Linked DNA regions of Arabidopsis thaliana. The protein of the gene in region 2 interacts with the protein of the main gene of each other region in a biochemical or structural test. Each region holds a gene or a part of one and is shown on either strand. Other genes may lie near its edges.

Evidence for each region. Proteins that work in one complex are often made in the same cells at the same time.
Region 1: the proteins of RPM1 (region 2) and RIN13 form a complex in vitro, tested with the Arabidopsis thaliana proteins (one study listed by BioGRID).
Region 3: the proteins of RPM1 (region 2) and RIN2 form a complex in vitro, tested with the Arabidopsis thaliana proteins (one study listed by BioGRID).

What each region holds. Positions count from the first base shown.
Region 1 is NC_003071.7:8,760,434-8,765,384, reverse strand, and holds RIN13 (RPM1 interacting protein 13), read left to right. Parts: upstream 1-2,012; 5' UTR 2,013-2,301; coding exon 2,302-2,631; intron 2,632-3,006; coding exon 3,007-3,093; intron 3,094-3,181; coding exon 3,182-4,057; 3' UTR 4,058-4,205; downstream 4,206-4,951.
Region 2 is NC_003074.8:2,225,115-2,231,726, reverse strand, and holds RPM1 (NB-ARC domain-containing disease resistance protein), read left to right. Parts: upstream 1-2,171; 5' UTR 2,172-2,702; coding exon 2,703-5,483; 3' UTR 5,484-5,872; downstream 5,873-6,612. Other genes in the region: NSN1 (GTP-binding family protein), read left to right, coding at 59-152, 235-408, 507-721, 816-1,080, 1,193-1,372, 1,474-1,685, 1,781-2,125; AT3G07030 (Alba DNA/RNA-binding protein), read left to right, coding at 6,473-6,595.
Region 3 is NC_003075.7:12,921,940-12,929,927, forward strand, and holds RIN2 (RPM1 interacting protein 2), read left to right. Parts: upstream 1-1,742; 5' UTR 1,743-2,055; exon of another isoform or gene 2,056-2,433; 5' UTR 2,434-2,506; coding exon 2,507-2,743; intron 2,744-3,319; coding exon 3,320-3,397; intron 3,398-3,740; coding exon 3,741-3,827; intron 3,828-3,920; coding exon 3,921-4,042; intron 4,043-4,494; coding exon 4,495-4,591; intron 4,592-4,689; coding exon 4,690-4,795; intron 4,796-4,914; coding exon 4,915-5,072; intron 5,073-5,184; coding exon 5,185-5,322; intron 5,323-5,395; coding exon 5,396-5,463; intron 5,464-5,542; coding exon 5,543-5,761; intron 5,762-6,021; coding exon 6,022-6,391; intron 6,392-6,675; coding exon 6,676-6,732; 3' UTR 6,733-7,335; downstream 7,336-7,988. Other genes in the region: G3Pp2 (root hair specific 15), read left to right, coding at 1-155, 243-823; AT4G25225 (uncharacterized protein), read right to left, coding at 1,147-1,419. UniProt on the Arabidopsis thaliana protein: E3 ubiquitin protein ligase that acts as a positive regulator of RPM1- and RPS2-dependent hypersensitive response (HR), in association with RIN3. Probably not required for RPM1 degradation during HR.

The DNA of each region.
Region 1 (4,951 bases), on a different chromosome or scaffold from region 2:
TGCTGCCACAATTTTCATCATTGCATTTTAAGGTGTGTGGTTCTTCTTTTCTAGCCATTTTTCTATATGAAAACAAATTGTAATATCCGCTAGTTCGTTACCAGCGGTGCTCACATCTTAAGGTCCTGAAACAAAACAAACATTTCCTTCATTACTTATATGTAATGTTATTCACCTAATCAAATTTTAAAGAAGAAACTCTAAAACTTTGACAACATTGTTATATGTGGATTTCACAACGTAATATCTAAATAAAGAATCTTGATTGAATAACAACTGATTGTACATGACATTTTAAGTCACTAAAACTCTTTTAAAATCATAAACCAATAACACCCCCTAAGACCTTTTTTTATTTTATTATTGACAACATTCAATCATATCTGGATTTTAAACCAAGGATTGTGATACATCAACGATAATAGTAAGACAATTTATTAAGCTATAAATCTTGGTCAAAATTATGGTTTTTAGTTCACTGTTATTAATGTCAATTCAATTTTTTTTATCATATATATATATATATAAAATCTACATATATACGGGCAATTATCTATTATCTAAATCTATAATCATTATCTTTGAAGAACATTAGATTAAAAAATGACAATATAAAGAAAATACTTTATTAGGTATGAATCTACTAACATTTAATCAAAAAAATATTACAAAATCATCCATGAAATGTCTTTTTAGCTTGTTTCCATTACTTTCCAATTCAAGTTTTAAAATGTTAAGCCAAGCTACAAAATATCAAATAAATTATATTTTGTTCGAATCATTATATTTATATTTTGCTTAAAGTTAACTAGCTACTTTTATTCAGTTTTGTAAATGCTACTACTTAAGGAAAAACCATCCAGGAAACAAATATAGTGGTAAGAGAATTATAGCAATTATATCACGATGTACCTTAAAAATATTTTGATTGCACAATATACACTTTTAGCAATCAATAATTTGTTTAGGATCAAGTACTTACAAGATCTATAAGTCAAAGATATTTAATTTACGAAAAGAACAGGTCTAGCATAATATCGGATGACTCGGATTCCGGAATAATTTAAATGAATCTTATACTTGATTACCTCATAGTATTAACGAACGTTAATGTTGATTACGAGATTTGACTTTGTAGAAGTTATGGATAAAATTAAAAGAAATTAAAAGTCTTTAACCAATATATGAAAAACTAAAAGTTCAGGTCCTAAACTTGTAAGCGTTGAAAATTTGGAATTGACTTTGAATGTGGCTTTACCAAACCCAACGGTTGAATATTGTTTTAAATGTCTCTCTCACGCGCTACATTCTTCCTTCTATCTCAGCCGTTCGATTTGACTCTTACGAGATCTCTTTGACTTGAATAAAAAATAATCATTAATGTTAATTTTGTTCTTAAATGCAATACATTATGTATTATTCGTCCGATTGTTAACAATAATGAAAAAGTTTAGTAAAAAAAATCGTTAACAATACTAATATAGCTATACGAAATAAAAAATATTAATACAGAAAGTTGAAAATATATATCGCCAGTTTTTACCAATTTTGGTACTGGTTTTATGATTGAAATAATAACACTTATACCACCACTATGGTACGAATTACTAATCAAGTTGAAACAAATATCAACAAATTTATATAATAATAAAAAAAACTTATCAACAAATTCTAGGGTTTGATTTTCATGAAAATATTGTTAGAACGTGCACATAACACGCTAAACGTTGGATATTAATAAGGAGATGCGGAAGCTGAGGCATTGATACCGTGAAGTGAAGGACCCCCTAGGCCGCACATGCACTTTGTGTCTTGGGAATTGTATTGCTTACATAAATATTTCATCCGTTTCCTTACAACAAATTACGAGTTTTCCTAAAAGTTGTTTTCTGAAGCAAAGAAAATGATTTGTTTTAATATTGTTTTTACATAAAAGGTTGGGAAGAATTTGATCATCAAACCAAACAAATGAACAATCAATGAAAAACATATAAATCCATCAATTTCTATAATCAGCCCAGATTCTTTTGAGTTGAGGCCCATTAGGCCCATATTCATCATATACCCGTTCAAAACTCGTCATTTCATCGTCACCACCACCAGTACAACATCCGCTTTTTGATTCCAAACCAAACCCTAATTTCTCAGCTCGAAGTTTCCATTTCATTGCTTCTTCTTACCTCGATTTTTCCCGGGTATTAGAATTCGGTCAATTTACTGAATTATAGTGTTCTCACATGCCAACTGATTCTACTTCAAAATCGCTGCGAATTTCTGCGATCAGTTACGAAAATTTTGTCAATGGGTTCGGGTAATCATGTTGATATAGTCGATGTGAGCTCAGGCGAAGAGGATGTCGATACACGGGGAGACGTAGAATACACCGATTGGCTAAACGGTGTTATGGAACCCGTCGATGATACATCTGACAGTACCGATATAGTCGAGGTTCTTTCTGAGGTTAGAGGTGGTGTAAATTCTCAGTATCGGAAGCCAAACTCGTCGAATCAAGCTTTGGAAGATGATGACGACTGTGTGATTTTGGACTGTGATCCCGACAAGACGAGGGAGACTACTTCAGTTGACGACGACGATGATGATGATGTGCTTGTAGTGGGTCAAAAGGGTGAGGTATGTTTTCACTGAACCCTTCTCATTTCTAAGTTCTCTTTCGTTTTCTTCATTCGAATTGGTGTGAAAGGCAGAGTTTCTCATTTCAGATTATGTATGCGTTAGTGTTGTTTAGCTCTGAGGAACTGTTTTAGGAATGGATAGTTATTGAACTGTTTTGTGTTATTGTAAAGTAATCGTTGTAACATTGATGAACTTTTTTTCTTTGGTGATGGAACTGTTTTAGGAATGGATAGTTATTGAACTGTTTTGTGTTATTGTAATTTAATCGGTGTAACATTGATGAACTTTTTTTCTTTGGTGTGTTCCATCTTTATACAAGTGTTGTTCACTTAAGTTTTCCTAATATGAAAAAGCATTTTTTTTGTTTTGTAGATAGCATGTAGAGATTTCCCTCATCCGCGACATTCGTGTGCTAAGTATGCGTTCAACTCAACATCACATGAGAAGTACTGTGACATGGTAAGTATCTAAATATTCTCTAATTCTACACGGAGCGTTAATGGATTCTTTTCCTGGCTGATCCTTTTCATTTGGTTTCTCTTTCAAGTGTCATTGTTATGTGTGTGACATCCGTGCTCCGTGTCCATACTGGTGTATCGCTGTCTCCTCCATAGATCATTGTCATGCTAATGATAAAGAGAAGATATGGAAGAATCAACGTGAATACTTCAGGACAGGATACATGCCTACCGCACCATCTTCAAAACCTACTCCAAGTATTTTACGGGTACCCAAAAACACTTTGCTTCGGAAAAACCATGTTGAGATCCGGCCTTGTTCATCATCTACCCGTGTTGCTAATCCTTCAAGTGTCAAAGCCAGGCATAGAATCAGGCAACCGATTCCGCACAATCAAGGGTTGCAGAGTCAACCGGCACAGTCATTAAGCACTGTTCGCGACAGCGTGATCCAAAAGGATAGAAGTTCTTATAGGTTTAGCCTACGATCCCGAGTAGCCTCTTCTGCGGGAAATGGTATCAGCATCCGATTTAACAATGCTCAAGTTTCACAATCCAGTCACCATAGCTCTTCCACAGTGGCACCTACATTAAACCCGGAAACGTACACTCAACAACGCAATGTTCGTGATCATTGCACAGCGCTACCTGGTTCTCAGAGCAACGTGTTCACTCGACATGCAGACCAGAACATACGTGGTAGTGGAAATCGTCAGTTTCAGACAAATGTGGATCGGTTTGCTCCGTCCAAAGCTCCTCTTACTGCTGAAGATTCGCATACAGCTACGGTACAACAGCAACCAGGGATTAATGAAAACGTCTTGGAGACCAAACTATCGGAATTTGAGAAATGGCTAATGGAAAATCCTAACCCAACCGGCCCTGTTAGTCCGTTACCTGAACCGGGAAATCAAGACTATGCTAGTACGTTGTCATTTGATTTTGAAACATTTTTGAATGATTGAAAGATTCATAAGGGTAGTTTGTATCTCCGTCCCTAGGTTAACTCTCTTCACTGATTGTATTTTGTAGAGGGAGTGCTGTAGTTTATTACAATCTCGATTGTGTGTATCATTTAATTAGCTGCTACTAGTACATCATAAAATTAAGTCCTAAAAAGTACCTGTTTGCCAATTGACATAAATAATGTTTGTTGATTTGAGTTTTTTAAGGTCAAAAATCAAACATACCATCATTATCACTGCCTGTTTAAATGATTAGGGAGGGGAAAATATCCATGTAATGTAAAAGAAGACAATCAACAATCGAAAAGCGATAGATATAGAAAGAGGCACACACATATGGTCTTGATTAAATTTGATCAAACTTCTATTTTGCCTAATAGACAAATAGTCCAAATTTATCAAAACCGGAAAAACATTGTTATATTTTGGATCAAAATTACTTCTACCATCATTTAGTTAGCTTTTAATATTTTAGAAACAATTGAATTTTTGACCCAAAAAAAGAAACAATGGAAATAACTGATAAAGTCTTCTTAAAAGTATAGGAAATTTTGCCAAGTATATAGTATTAATTTTGGAAACAAACACGAAAATGGAATAGTTTTGAGAGTTGATACTTGTCATTTGTGGAATTATTACTATTACTTTTTAATGTAAAATATTTCGAAAATAAACTTTTAACAAAAGTAAAATCCGAAAATACTTAGTTTCCAAGTTTATAGAAATCAAGCCCAGCCCATTTGGGGTTTTTAATTTTTTTTTTTTTTTTTTTTTAAAAAAAAAAAAAAAAAAAAAATCAAACCCAAAACGATTCCGTTTAGTAGGCTAAAATTCAAGTAAGTCCCGGCCCAATAAGGCAACTAACGCCCAAAAAAGAAACGGTTTTGTCGATGT
Region 2 (6,612 bases):
TTTACTCGTATTTTGGAGTGGTGCTTGTGTTCTGATCTCTCCTAATAAATCTATTCAGGCCAAAAAGAGGAAACTTGGTTTGGTTGATGATGAGGATACCAAGACAGAAGGAGAGACCATAGAGGACTTACCTAAAGTTGTCAATGTTCGAGGTGAGTTGTTTTGGATACCTTCTTCACGCGTTTATGTGCTTTCTCTCTGCCTTTACATGCACTAATGTCTTTTGTTTCACAGATAACTCGGAGAGGGCTTTCTACAAGGAGCTAGTTAAAGTCATTGAATTGTCTGATGTCATTTTGGAGGTTCTTGATGCCCGTGATCCTCTTGGCACTCGTTGTACTGACATGGAGAGGATGGTGATGCAAGCCGGTCCCAATAAGCATCTTGTGTTGCTGCTGAACAAGATTGGTAAGTTCATATATTCAGTCTTTACTCGTGGACGTAATAAGTTGTTTGTTTACTCTGGGTGGTGTAATTAATTTTTGTAACTGATTCACTCTCTCCAGATCTTGTTCCCCGAGAGGCTGCTGAGAAATGGCTTATGTACCTTAGGGAAGAATTTCCAGCTGTTGCCTTCAAGTGTAGCACCCAGGAACAGAGATCAAACTTGGGTTGGAAATCATCTAAGGCATCAAAACCAAGCAATATGTTGCAGACGAGTGATTGTCTTGGAGCAGACACTCTTATCAAATTGTTGAAGAACTACTCAAGAAGTCATGAGGTTGGTTCCATAGTTTAAACTTTAATCATCCTACCTTAGCATCAAGTTATATCATTCAGTTTCAATTAAATCTTCCTTTGTTGTTCTTTGGCAGTTAAAAAAATCTATCACAGTTGGTATTATTGGACTGCCTAATGTCGGCAAGAGTAGTCTTATTAACAGTCTGAAGAGAGCGCATGTTGTCAATGTTGGTGCCACTCCTGGACTGACTAGATCTCTGCAAGAGGTTCACTTGGACAAAAACGTGAAGTTGCTGGATTGTCCTGGAGTTGTGATGTTGAAATCATCAGGAAATGATGCTTCCATAGCTCTCCGAAATTGTAAAAGAATCGAGAAGTTGGATGACCCAGTTAGTCCAGGTAATTGGATATAAGCTCAAGATAGAATCACACTTATTTTTGTGCTTTGTCTTTTAAAGGTTATAATCTGAGTGACCTAACTTGGAAATCTTCTGCTTTGTGAAAAAAATAGTGAAGGAAATTCTCAAGCTTTGTCCTAAAGATATGCTGGTGACTCTCTACAAAATCCCGAGCTTCGAGGCAGTTGATGATTTCCTTTACAAAGTCGCCACTGTAAGGGGTAAACTTAAAAAGGGTGGTCTTGTGGATATTGATGCTGCTGCCAGAATTGTTTTGCATGACTGGAATGAAGGTGCGGATCTTTTTTTGTTCCTCGTAAACTTGAAGCGTAAAAGCATTTTTGAAAACCAGTTTCTTAACTCATCATTGTCTCTAATATGAATGGTTATGCAGGTAAAATCCCATACTATACAATGCCGCCAAAGAGGGACCAGGGTGGACATGCAGAGTCAAAGATTGTGACTGAGCTGGCCAAGGATTTCAACATCGATGAGGTTTACAGTGGTGAATCCTCTTTCATTGGGAGCTTGAAGACGGTTAACGAATTCAACCCTGTTATTATTCCTTCAAATGGTCCTCTCAATTTCGATGAAACTATGATCGAGGTTGGTAACTTCTCTCGTGATTCCATTTGCTTGTAAATGACTCGGTCTGGATTTAATCTTTGTTTATGATGATGTATCACAAAAAAAAAAAACAGGATGAGTCTAAGACGCAGACGGAAGAGGAGGCTGAGCATGAGAGTGATGATGATGAGTCAATGGGAGGGGAGGAGGAGGAAGAGGCAGGAAAGACGAAGGAGAAATCAGAGACGGGGAGGCAGAACGTGAAGCTATACGCAGCGGAAAGCATGTTGAATACAAAGAAACAGAAAGCAGAGAAGAAGAAGAGGAAGAAAGCAAAGAAAGCAGGAGCTGATGAGGAGGATCTGATGGACGGAGATTATGATTTCAAAGTGGATTATAGGAAGAACAAAGATGGAGAAGACGAAGAATTCCAGATTGATGCTAAAATCCCAATGGCTGGACTTTTGCCTGAAGAATGAGTGATTGGAAACCACAACGTTTTTTTTTTTTTTTTTTTTTGTATTTGGCGTTTATGAGTCGGTCGGTTAAACTTTCTGATATATGTGCTTCATGAACTAGTAGTAATACTGAAGCGATTTTGATTTCTTTAATTAACGTTTCTTCTATTCCAATTCTGCTTTGCTTAACAAATATCTTAAGAACATTCAAAAATCATTGAGGTAAGTGTACTTCTTCGCCCTTCAGAAGAAAGTAATAATCTTTTACCCTTTCAGTTTCAGGTAACGAATGACGAAAACAACACCCGAGTTCAGTACATCAGATTTCTCTGTCTCTCTCTTGGAACTTCCAAACTCGACCATATCCGTCAAATTGAATTCCAAGTTGCAAATGTGAAAGCAGTTTAAACCCGTGTTGACTTTAACGCAAGTAAAGGACGTTGACTTTGTTGAGGTCCTTAAGGATAATTGATCAAAATGTTATGTGGCAGGCATGTAAGGTGTGAACCGAAAGCTTGGCTTTGCTCAAATTCAGCAAGTTCACCAAGAGAAACTAAATCAGTGAAGGAAAAAAGGTTCAAGCGAGACTCTGAGGAAGATGGCTTCGGCTACTGTTGATTTTGGGATCGGACGGATTCTTAGTGTCCTGGAAAACGAGACCTTGTTATTGTCAGGAGTCCATGGTGAGATTGATAAAATGAAGAAGGAGTTGCTGATCATGAAGTCCTTTCTTGAGGATACTCATAAACATGGTGGAAATGGATCCACAACAACAACAACTCAACTCTTCCAAACTTTTGTGGCAAACACGAGAGATTTGGCTTACCAAATCGAAGACATTCTCGACGAGTTTGGCTATCACATCCACGGTTATCGTAGCTGCGCCAAAATTTGGCGTGCGTTTCATTTCCCGAGGTATATGTGGGCGAGGCACTCGATAGCTCAAAAGCTAGGAATGGTTAATGTCATGATTCAATCCATTTCTGATTCCATGAAAAGGTACTATCATTCAGAAAACTACCAAGCAGCATTATTACCGCCTATTGATGATGGCGATGCAAAGTGGGTGAACAACATCAGTGAGTCATCTCTTTTCTTTAGTGAAAATAGTCTTGTAGGGATTGATGCACCCAAGGGAAAGCTCATCGGACGGCTTCTAAGTCCCGAACCTCAGCGGATTGTTGTCGCGGTGGTTGGGATGGGCGGTTCAGGGAAAACTACACTCTCAGCGAATATCTTCAAGTCTCAAAGTGTGCGGAGGCATTTTGAGTCTTACGCTTGGGTTACAATCTCGAAATCTTATGTGATTGAAGATGTGTTTAGGACCATGATCAAGGAGTTTTACAAAGAAGCAGATACACAGATTCCAGCTGAATTATACTCCTTAGGCTACAGAGAGTTGGTGGAAAAACTTGTGGAGTATTTGCAGTCGAAGAGGTACATTGTTGTGCTTGATGATGTATGGACCACTGGTCTATGGAGGGAGATAAGTATTGCTTTACCAGATGGTATTTATGGAAGTCGTGTTATGATGACTACTCGGGACATGAACGTGGCTTCTTTCCCATATGGAATTGGGAGCACAAAGCACGAGATTGAGCTCTTAAAAGAAGACGAAGCTTGGGTGCTTTTCTCCAACAAAGCTTTTCCGGCAAGTCTTGAGCAATGCAGAACGCAGAATTTGGAGCCGATAGCACGAAAATTAGTCGAGAGATGTCAGGGTTTGCCATTAGCTATTGCTTCTTTGGGAAGCATGATGTCAACCAAGAAGTTTGAATCAGAATGGAAGAAAGTCTACAGTACTTTAAACTGGGAACTGAACAACAATCATGAACTCAAGATTGTTCGAAGCATTATGTTCCTTAGCTTCAATGATTTGCCATACCCGCTTAAACGTTGTTTCTTATATTGTTCTCTTTTCCCTGTGAACTATCGGATGAAAAGAAAGAGGCTCATTAGGATGTGGATGGCACAAAGGTTTGTGGAACCGATCAGAGGAGTGAAAGCAGAAGAAGTGGCTGATAGTTACCTCAATGAACTTGTTTACAGAAATATGCTTCAAGTTATCTTGTGGAATCCTTTTGGACGACCCAAGGCGTTCAAGATGCATGACGTGATATGGGAGATTGCTCTATCTGTATCCAAACTTGAGAGGTTCTGTGATGTATATAATGATGACAGTGATGGTGATGATGCTGCAGAAACAATGGAGAATTACGGTAGTCGCCATTTATGCATTCAGAAAGAGATGACACCTGATAGTATACGTGCAACAAACCTTCACTCTCTTTTGGTTTGCTCTTCTGCTAAACACAAGATGGAATTACTTCCAAGTCTGAACCTTCTGAGAGCCTTAGACCTTGAAGACTCTTCCATCAGCAAGTTACCAGATTGTTTAGTAACTATGTTCAACTTAAAGTACTTGAATTTGTCCAAGACACAGGTGAAAGAACTGCCAAAAAACTTCCATAAACTCGTCAATTTGGAGACGTTGAACACAAAGCACTCCAAGATTGAGGAACTTCCTCTAGGGATGTGGAAATTGAAGAAGTTGCGATATCTCATTACTTTTCGCCGCAATGAAGGACATGATTCCAATTGGAATTATGTTTTAGGTACAAGGGTTGTTCCTAAAATCTGGCAGTTGAAGGATTTGCAAGTCATGGACTGCTTCAACGCAGAAGATGAGCTTATCAAAAATCTCGGGTGTATGACTCAGCTCACAAGAATAAGTCTTGTCATGGTTAGGAGAGAACATGGAAGAGACTTGTGCGATTCACTGAATAAGATTAAAAGAATTCGATTCTTATCTTTAACGTCGATTGATGAAGAGGAACCGTTAGAGATAGATGACCTGATCGCAACTGCAAGCATTGAGAAGCTCTTTCTTGCTGGGAAACTGGAGAGAGTACCAAGTTGGTTCAACACTCTTCAAAACCTTACCTATTTGGGTTTGCGTGGATCTCAGCTACAGGAAAACGCCATTCTCTCTATCCAAACGCTTCCTAGATTGGTATGGCTTTCATTTTACAATGCATACATGGGACCTAGGTTGCGTTTTGCACAAGGATTTCAGAATCTGAAGATTCTAGAGATAGTTCAGATGAAACATCTGACAGAAGTTGTTATAGAAGACGGTGCAATGTTTGAGCTTCAGAAGCTTTATGTCAGGGCTTGTAGAGGGTTAGAGTACGTACCAAGAGGAATTGAGAATCTTATAAATCTTCAAGAACTGCATTTGATTCATGTTTCTAATCAGTTAGTAGAACGCATTCGCGGAGAAGGGAGTGTGGACCGGTCAAGGGTTAAACACATTCCTGCGATTAAGCATTATTTCAGAACTGATAATGGCTCTTTCTATGTGAGCCTCTCATCTTAGGCGGCCAAGGCAAGCTTCATCATACAAGATACTGCACACTGTACTGTGAAAATCAGGGATGGATATTCACATAACTACTAAACGCCATGAGCTTACCAAACAGATTGATTGTCATGTGTTGTCTTTGAAAGTCAACAATCAGGTCTTCTCTTCACTCAAAGACAACATTTTTTTGCTGGTCTCATGAGTCAGTGCTAATGACTAAACAGCTCACTTCACAGCAGTTTCCACTGTTTTTTTTCGAAATTCATTTAAGTAAGATTTAATATGGTCAGCTGATTGTTCTGTAATTCTGTGTAAACATTACTTTGTTAAGACCTTAATATTGTTGACATTGTTATTTGAGTATCGGCTTCAACCAAGAAATTCCACTACCGTGTTAGTCTTCTAAATGAAAGTGGCTCATTCACAATCCCAAAAGTTAGGACCTTTACACTAATCGAAATAACCAGATACAGTTGGACTAAATACTTAATACTACTCCAAAACATTCCATTTTAAATTTCTCCTTAACTGATGGAAAAGTTTTGAAATTTTGAAAAGAAGAAAGTAAAAAAAATCTTGTTATCAACGATCCGCGGCGGTTAAAACGGAGATTATTATTGATGGATGGATATCTGGTCATTCGTGTTATCCACGTGCAACTAACGCACGTAAAAGACATACTAACCTCCCCGAAAATCGGATCCGGATCCGAAAATATCTGACCCGTTTTGAAGCGGTTTGACGAAAGACCGTTTTGGGCCTAGTCAATAGTAAAAATTAAAAACTCAAGGCTCTTTGGTGTCCCTTGGTATTACTATCGGCCTTTCCCGATGCTCTTTCTTCTTCATCTTGAAACTCGCGATTCCTTCTTCTCCTTCTAGGGTTTATTACTAAGGGTTTCTCTATCCTTAAATCTCATCTCTGTCCTTTCTTCTTCTCCAGAGCGTCGTTCACTGTTCTCTCTCTAAAACCTAGGGTTTTCGATCTTTTCATCTTCTGGTAAAATGGATAGATACCAGAGAGTCGCTAAACCGAAACCAGAGTCTCCGATTAACGAGAATGAGATCCGTATCACCAGTAAAGGCCTTATCCGAAACTACATCAGTTATGCCACCAGTCTTCTTCAGGTACTCTCTCTCTCTCT
Region 3 (7,988 bases), on a different chromosome or scaffold from region 2:
ATCTAGAATGAGTACTGGATTCGATAGAAAGGCAGTCGGGTTCATGGCCGCTTGGAAAATCCCCGGTGTTGCTCCTTTCGCCTTCTGCCTCTTCTTCACAAAGTTGGTCTCATACACTTTCCTCTACTGGCTTCCTTTCTACGTCAGCCACAACAGTAATGTTTCTCATCATCTCTCCTTCCTTTTACCTCTAGTGTTGTAGCCTGACTATATATGCATTGTCTGAATTATATGTGATGCAGTGATCGGAGGAGAGTACCTGTCAGAGGAGACATCAGGAAACTTGTCGACAATCTTCGATGTTGGAGGCGTTGTTGGTGGAGTCTTAGCCGGATACATATCTGATCAACTCAACGGCAGAGCCATCACAGCAGCAGGATTCATGTACTTGGCCATCCCAGCTCTTTTCCTCTACAGAGTCTTTGGACACATCTCATTGACCATCAATGTCATCCTCATGTTCACATCAGGAGTCTTCATCATTGGACCATTTGCTCTCATCACAACAGCTGTCTCAGCTGATCTCGGAACCCACAAATCTCTCAAAGGCAATGCAAGGGCTTTGGCTACAGTCTCAGCTATCATAGACGGCACAGGATCCGTCGGTGCTGCGATTGGACCAGTCCTCACTGGTTACATCTCTGCCATAAGCTGGGACGCAGTGTTTTACATGTTGATGACTGCAGCATTGATCTCTGGATTGTTGCTCACTAAACTAATCATAGCAGAAGTCAAAGCGTTATTGTTTGGATCAGAAGATGAAGTAGCTGCATCATCATCATCACCACCAGCATCCAGACCTCCCATTGATGTCCTCGTTTGAGTTTTTTCCTTCATTATTTATCAGTTTCTTTGACAATTTCACACTTTTTTTATCCTTTTAAAGTTCGTTCCTTTTTCCCCAGTTGTCTTCATTTCTTAAGTTTGAATGAGAATAAGATTACCTAATTTGGTTGTCGAATGATATTTAAACCAATCAAAACAGCTGAAAATTGCAGCAATCGGAATAAAGAATCATCATTTGGTTCTATATGATCATCAAATTTCACTGAATTTACACATAAACCTTAAGAAGTAGCAAAATTCATTTTTAAAAAAGGTACAAGAGACGGTGAATTCACCGGAGAAGCTGCTAAGTGGAATCTGTCAAACGTCGTCTCTGCTTTTGGGCTTGCGATATTTCTCCTCAACTTGCTTGGCCATTGAAACGGCGCAGTGACCGAGCTTTTTGATGTTAGGGACGTTGTAGGTCTGAGCGATGTAGATCCCGCACACTGTTCCCATGATGAAAGAGAAGCTGCTCCTTATTATCCCCATCTTCTTCTCCGTAGATCGGATTTTTTTTTTTGGGTTTATTGAATTGGAGATATTTTGATCGGAGAGATTGACGGAATTAAAAGCGAAATCCGCCAAGATCATGAGAATTCTGGAAATTAAAAGTCGAAGAATTGAAGATCCATTACTGGGCCTGTAAGGCCCAAATATATTAAAAATTTACATGGGCTTTTTGCGTTAAATCCATATGAATTTAGCTTTTGTTTGTTTTTATATGGGAAAATTCAAACTAGTCACCAACTTAAGAAATCTTTAATGAGTTAAAGGTGTTTTTGGTTAAAGGGGTCATATTCAAATTTGTTGGTGTGTCAAAATCAAACTATTGCTCTTAAAGAAAAAAAATGTTTACTGAGATGTATATAACATTTTGTTGTTGTTAAAAATGGTTAGAAAATATTATAACTAGAGTTTTTGGTTTCACCAAAACCATATATAACAAATGAATTAAATAAATTTTTTGATGTTATATAGATTTTTTCAGTAGGCATACATATGTTGAAAATAAACTCAACAAAAAAAACATGTGTTGACCGTATCAGTTTATTTTCTAATTAATAAGAAAAGTATTCTATTGTTTTCCAGGAAGGAAGAAGATATCGAATTTTGCTCTTTCTACTTTTCGATTCTCTCTCGATCGAGAGGAGAAAAAGACAGAGAGGCACGGTGACACGCTGCTTTCACAGAATTTCCCCAACCGACAGACAAGCTTCGCGGATTCAGGTTTTTCTATGATTCGATCCATTTCTTAAGAACTCTGCATTTTATTCCTTGTAAAATCTTCCTCCTAGCTCCTTTCTTCAATTTTCGATTTTTGATTTATATTGTTTCAATTTTGGATCATATCTTTTTATTTCTTGTGAATCGGGTCTTTGTACTTGGTACCTCTATGTAGCATTTTTGGCTTCTGTACAAATCTGATTTCACCTGTATGCATACGACTCAATCTAAAAGAACCCAAGTTTTGGATTTTCCTCTGCTTTGGAGCTCAATTTTCTTTACATTCTGAAAAAAAAATCATCTTTTTATGGAAATGTTCAATTTTTGTAGTTGTTTGTATCGTCCGAGTCTTAATACTTATGAGAGATCATGTCTTTGCAGATGGCGTCATGCTAATATGACTAAATGAGATTCTGGGGATTAAGTTTAAGTGGGAAGGCTGTAATAGTTCCTAATGGGGATAAAGTACTTGCCCGTCTCCGTAGCATCAACAGCTCTCAGCTTTGTTGGACTTCAAGTCTGGACAGAGTTGTCTCTCGATAGACTTCGAGCAGATGGGCTGATTGCCAAGAACATTTCTTTAGGAGACTCTGAGCATGCGCTTGAGCTGCTTCTGGGCTCTTATTTCACTATTGCGCTGCTTACAAATTTTGTGCTCAATGTGTATATTCTTCTGGTACTTTCTCTCAAGGTAAGAGTAACCTTTTACTATTGGGATGCAATATAAGCAATGTTTTTTCTAATATTTAGCTTTCGTAGACATCGTAGGCTCCCTCCAAATCAATGAAATTGAACTTCCAAACTTCACTAGATTCATACTTTAAGCGATTAATACCTTTATGAAATTCCTTCTATCCTTAGACTGAGCTTGTTTGCCTCCTAATCTACATTAGTCACTGGTAGAGAGGTGTCTCATTATTTGTTACTCTTATTCTTAATTGTTTCACTTGTTCTTGGGACATCTTTTTTAGGCTCTTAAAGTTTCAGACTTGCACCACTGATTTCTCTTCTGTTGGAAACAGAGTCCAATTTACAGTTCTTACTTTGGTTACGATCGAAAACATTATTATTAGTTTTCCCCTGCGAATGTAGTGATGTGCATAAGAAGCAAATGTTCTTAATTTATAAGAGTCAAACTCTCGTTTCCGGTAGTTGAATGTCTTGCATGAAAGAAAACTCAGGAATTTCATACTGTTTGTTAATTGTTTCTGGAGATGTCTTGTGACCATTGTCTGTGGTTCTAATGTCTTCTCAACATCTTCTGCAGACTCTATTTTTTGGAGATTTATATGATGTTGAAACCAAAAAGTTGGTGGAGCGACTTGCCAATTATATCATATACAAGGTAGCTGTTCTTACTTTGATTGAAAACTAGACTCTGACATACAATAACCTACATTCTGTGTTTTGTATGAGATATTCTTGGTAGTGTTCATTATTTAAAATAACTGTGTCAGGTAAACAAATGGTATATTATTATAGTGACAGAGTAATGGGAAACAGAAAAATAGTTTTTGAAGCCTCAGAGGTCTTTACTTAGACAGTTGATTCTGCCACATTTTCCCTTCATTTCCTCTTGCACTTTGTTTCTATGTGTAGTGTTTTCTGGATTTGAGTTATTTGCAGACATATGTATGTATTGTGGGTGTTAATAGTTTATTTCCCGCTTCTAATCCTCCTGTCCCTAGGGTACGTTTCTACCACTGGTGATTCCCCCAACAATATTTCAGGGTGTACTGTGGACAGTTTGGTTGACTGTTCTATGTACTTTAAAGGTATGAAACACTGGGCGTTCTTGATTTACGAGAAACCAAATTCTGAATTATCTTTTGTCGACACCCTAAACTGTACCTTGTAATGTTATGTAGATGTTTCAAGCTTTGGCTAGAGACCGGCTTGAACGATTGAATGCATCTCCTTCTTCTACACCTTGGACATACTTTCGTGTGTATTCAGTGCTATTCTTGGTCCTCTCTGTTGATATGTTCTGGTAAATCCTAAACCTTGCGGTATAGTCTCAAATATTCAATTGCTGCACTTTCTATCTTGATTTTCTTCTCAAACACTTCTGGTTTATTTTAGAGGATCAGAGTAGATGTTCTCTAGATTTACCCCAGTCCGTTAAGAACAACTTTAAGTTCTTCAACAACATAGAGAGAGTGCATAGCTTGCTTTTTATGTTTATGCTTTACTGTGAGAGTTGTTGTCCTGAAATTCATCTATGCATTGTCAAGGCGAAAGTAAAGCCAAAAACTTCTGAGTGAAAATGTGGATGCCGTAGAGCGAGGAAGGTTTTGTGTCTGAGTTCATTATGTTTTGTGGACTGAATTCCAGTTAGAAAACTCGTTTGATCTCTTTGTGTAGTAACGTTTTAGTAACCAGTTTCACGCATGTCTAGATGATATGCTGAGTAACAGGATTTACTTTTCTCCAATCTTGCAGGATAAAACTTTCCCTTATGACATACAATACAATTGGTTCCGCTGTGTATCTGTTGTTACTTTTTGAGCCATGCAGTATAGCTTTTGAGACCTTGCAGGTACTTAATTGATAACAGTTTTCTTCTTCGTCCTACTCGTTGTCTTTCTTTCGTAGCCATAGTCAACAAAATATAGAGCTCATCGGAACTTTTTGCAGGCGCTGTTAATTCATGGGTTTCAGCTGCTAGATATGTGGATTAACCACTTAGCAGTTAAGAACTCAGACTGCCAAAGATCTAAGTTTATTGATTCTATGACAGCAGGTCGTTTCTTTTCTGGTGTTATGCTTTGTTTTTCTATTAGAGCCCGAAAATGCATTCTTGTGGACATTTTTGGTCTATTGGAACTCCAAATCTCAAGTTAAACTCTTATCTTTGGATAGGCTCACTGTTGGAATGGAAAGGCCTCCTCAACCGTAACCTTGGTTTCTTCCTGGACATGGCTACTTTGGTAATGGCACTAGGTCATTATTTGCACATTTGGTGGCTGCATGGCATTGCCTTTCATCTGGTGGATGCAGTTTTGTTTCTCAACATACGTGTATGTCTGTTAATTGGCTTTCTTTAAAACAGTGTCACTCTCCCGGTTACTTGATACTAGGCACAGCATTGAATTGTTGTATTTTTACCTGGTTTTCTGTTTGGTTTGGCAGGCATTGCTAAGTGCAATTTTGAAACGAATAAAAGGATACATTAAACTAAGAATAGCTCTGGGTGCTCTCCATGCAGCCCTCCCTGATGCAACTTCTGAAGAGTTAAGGGCATATGATGATGAATGTGCTATATGTCGGGTACGCTTCTGCTATAGTCATTTTCTTATAAGCTTTCAATCTCAAACTCTTAAAATACAATTATAATTGGCAGGAACCTATGGCTAAGGCTAAAAGGCTTCACTGCAACCACCTTTTCCATCTTGGATGCCTGCGATCCTGGTGCGCTTAGCTAAATATCGACAGCCTCGTGTCTTTATGACTCACACTGGTGATCCTGATGATGTTTTGATTCCTGCAGGTTGGATCAAGGTCTAAATGAGGTTTATTCTTGTCCTACATGTCGTAAGCCTCTTTTCGTTGGTAGAACTGAAAATGAGGTGAACCCTCGCACAGTGGAAGTCTCAAGTGATGAGCAGTTAGCCCGTCAGCTTGAAAGACAAAACAATCCTGTACATGCACTAGCCACTGGATTATTTCCTGCTGAGGTGCCAGATTCTGTCGAAAATGATACTTCGAGGTTCAGTTCATTCTTCGTTCTTGATTTTCTTATTAACTACACCAAAGTAACAATTTATTTAGAACTTCATGATTCTTTTCCTGCGACTCCCTTGATCTTGGTACTGAGATACTAAATTTGCACTGCCTTAAAGTAACGTTATTTTAAAATGTTTTGAATAGCAAGTTATATTTGGTTTCTGACGACCACTATTTGTGCATATTTCTTGGATTTATTTTACTGGATTGTATAAGTTCTCATCCCTTTCTTTCACAAAATAGGAATTTAGGATTGGATCCAAGTTGGCTGCAGACATGGTCAAGTCAGGGTTCTGATGTCGCTGGTCCTTCTACCACTTCCAGGACAGTTGGACTTGGGCGGGTTCAGATGATGATGAGGCATCTTGCATCTGTTGGCGAAAGCTATGCTCAAACTGCACTTGACGATGCTGCTTGGAGTCTATGGCCGATGAACCCTTCACAAGCATCCACTTCTTCTACAACTGTACCTCCTGGTAATGGTGGAAGGACAGGTGGTCTGCATCTGAGAACTGTATCAAACACGACAAATGAAAGCTTAACAAATATACTAGCTATGGCCGAGACAGTGAGGGAAGTCATGCCACACGTGCCCGATGAAATTATTTTCCAGGTAAATTTTAAGTGCATATTGGATTATCTGTAAGCTTTGATGGGATGTGCATACATGGTTGAGTTGAGTTGGTGGCTCATTTAGATTGTCTTCTGCATTGACTGGAAGGAACTATTTTTTGCATATATTCATACCTGAAGCCGAATTTTATCAGTTTATGTATGTGGTCAATTTGCCTGAACTGGTCTCTATATTCACTAGACTGGTCCTTAAGCTATGGATAGTTCAGTTTTAAGATTCACGTGACTTGATACTTGAACCTGTTATGTTTCAATTTCTTGCAGGACCTGCAGAGAACAAACTCTGTTGCTGTTACCGTGAACAATCTTCTCCAGATGTGATGATAGTTTGTGTAAAATATACTAAGCACTTCCATTTCAACCTTAGGTATAGATTAATGATTGGGGACATATCCTTATCCGTAAGTTTTACACACCACCCAACATTCCAAGCTTCACCCGCTGTAGATATAAGGCACTGTGTATCACTTTTTGCTATAGAGAAGAAGAGGCTCTAGTGTATAGCTTCTGTTCATTGCTCTCTTGCGAAAATAAGTTCGGATATTTACATAAGGTGATGATGCCCTGGTGGTCTGGAGATATCTTGTTGCAGTCTGACCTTGGCTCCAATCTCGAGGGAGAGTAACCACTCTTTGCAGCTGCTCTTTTGGCTGCTGCCACCTCTCCTGTATAAGAATGTGTAATTTACAATAAAGAAAAAAGAAGTAAATGAAAGAGTCTACTGTTATTGATCCAATAGCCTGTAATGTAGTATCATCAAATGTGTGAACTCAATTTTTTTTTCTTCTGAAGAATTATCTTCCTACATTAACTCTATACCCGTTTTGACGAACGGATAAACAGTGAAGAGACAAATTAACATATAAAATATAATTTGTCATAACCATTTCGAGTAGATATAATCAATAGAAAAGTATCATGTTGGTACTTTTAACGCAACTTCAAGCCGAAAAAGATTGTGAAGAGATTGTTTCTTTCGAAGGAAGCAACTTTGATTTTGTCCATGCCGTGTGTAAATTAGCAATAGCAGAAGAGAACCACTTAAACTTATTTTAATACGCTTCTAGATAGCTCTACTTGGTTCGATAAATTTTTATGCACGTTAAGTAAGTTTAATCTGTTTCTAATAACTAAAATATATGATGTAGTTGGCATAAAAAAAACCATAAAATCTATTCCCAACAAATGAGGAATATTCACATCTAAGATATTCTTTTTAAAACCAAAGGAACAAGATTAACATGAGACCTTAGACAAAGGGAATGGCCATGAACCATTCCATAATTCCATTTAGAGATAGCAAGTGGCAGATATATATGTGTAATTCGAAAATATATAAGTATATTTGATCCATTCTAGTCTTCATTAAAAGATACACAATATTATCATTTATCAATTAAGTGGAGGGACTGACTCTACATCAAAGATAGAAATAGGGTAATTTAGTTAAGCAAGACTCAAGTATCAGGAAGTGAGATCACTACTTTGCAACAATCTCTTGATAGCCATCTGAAATCTTCTTCAGATGCTAATCTCAACTCATGGAAACATCCATGGCACGGTGTATTGACATAATG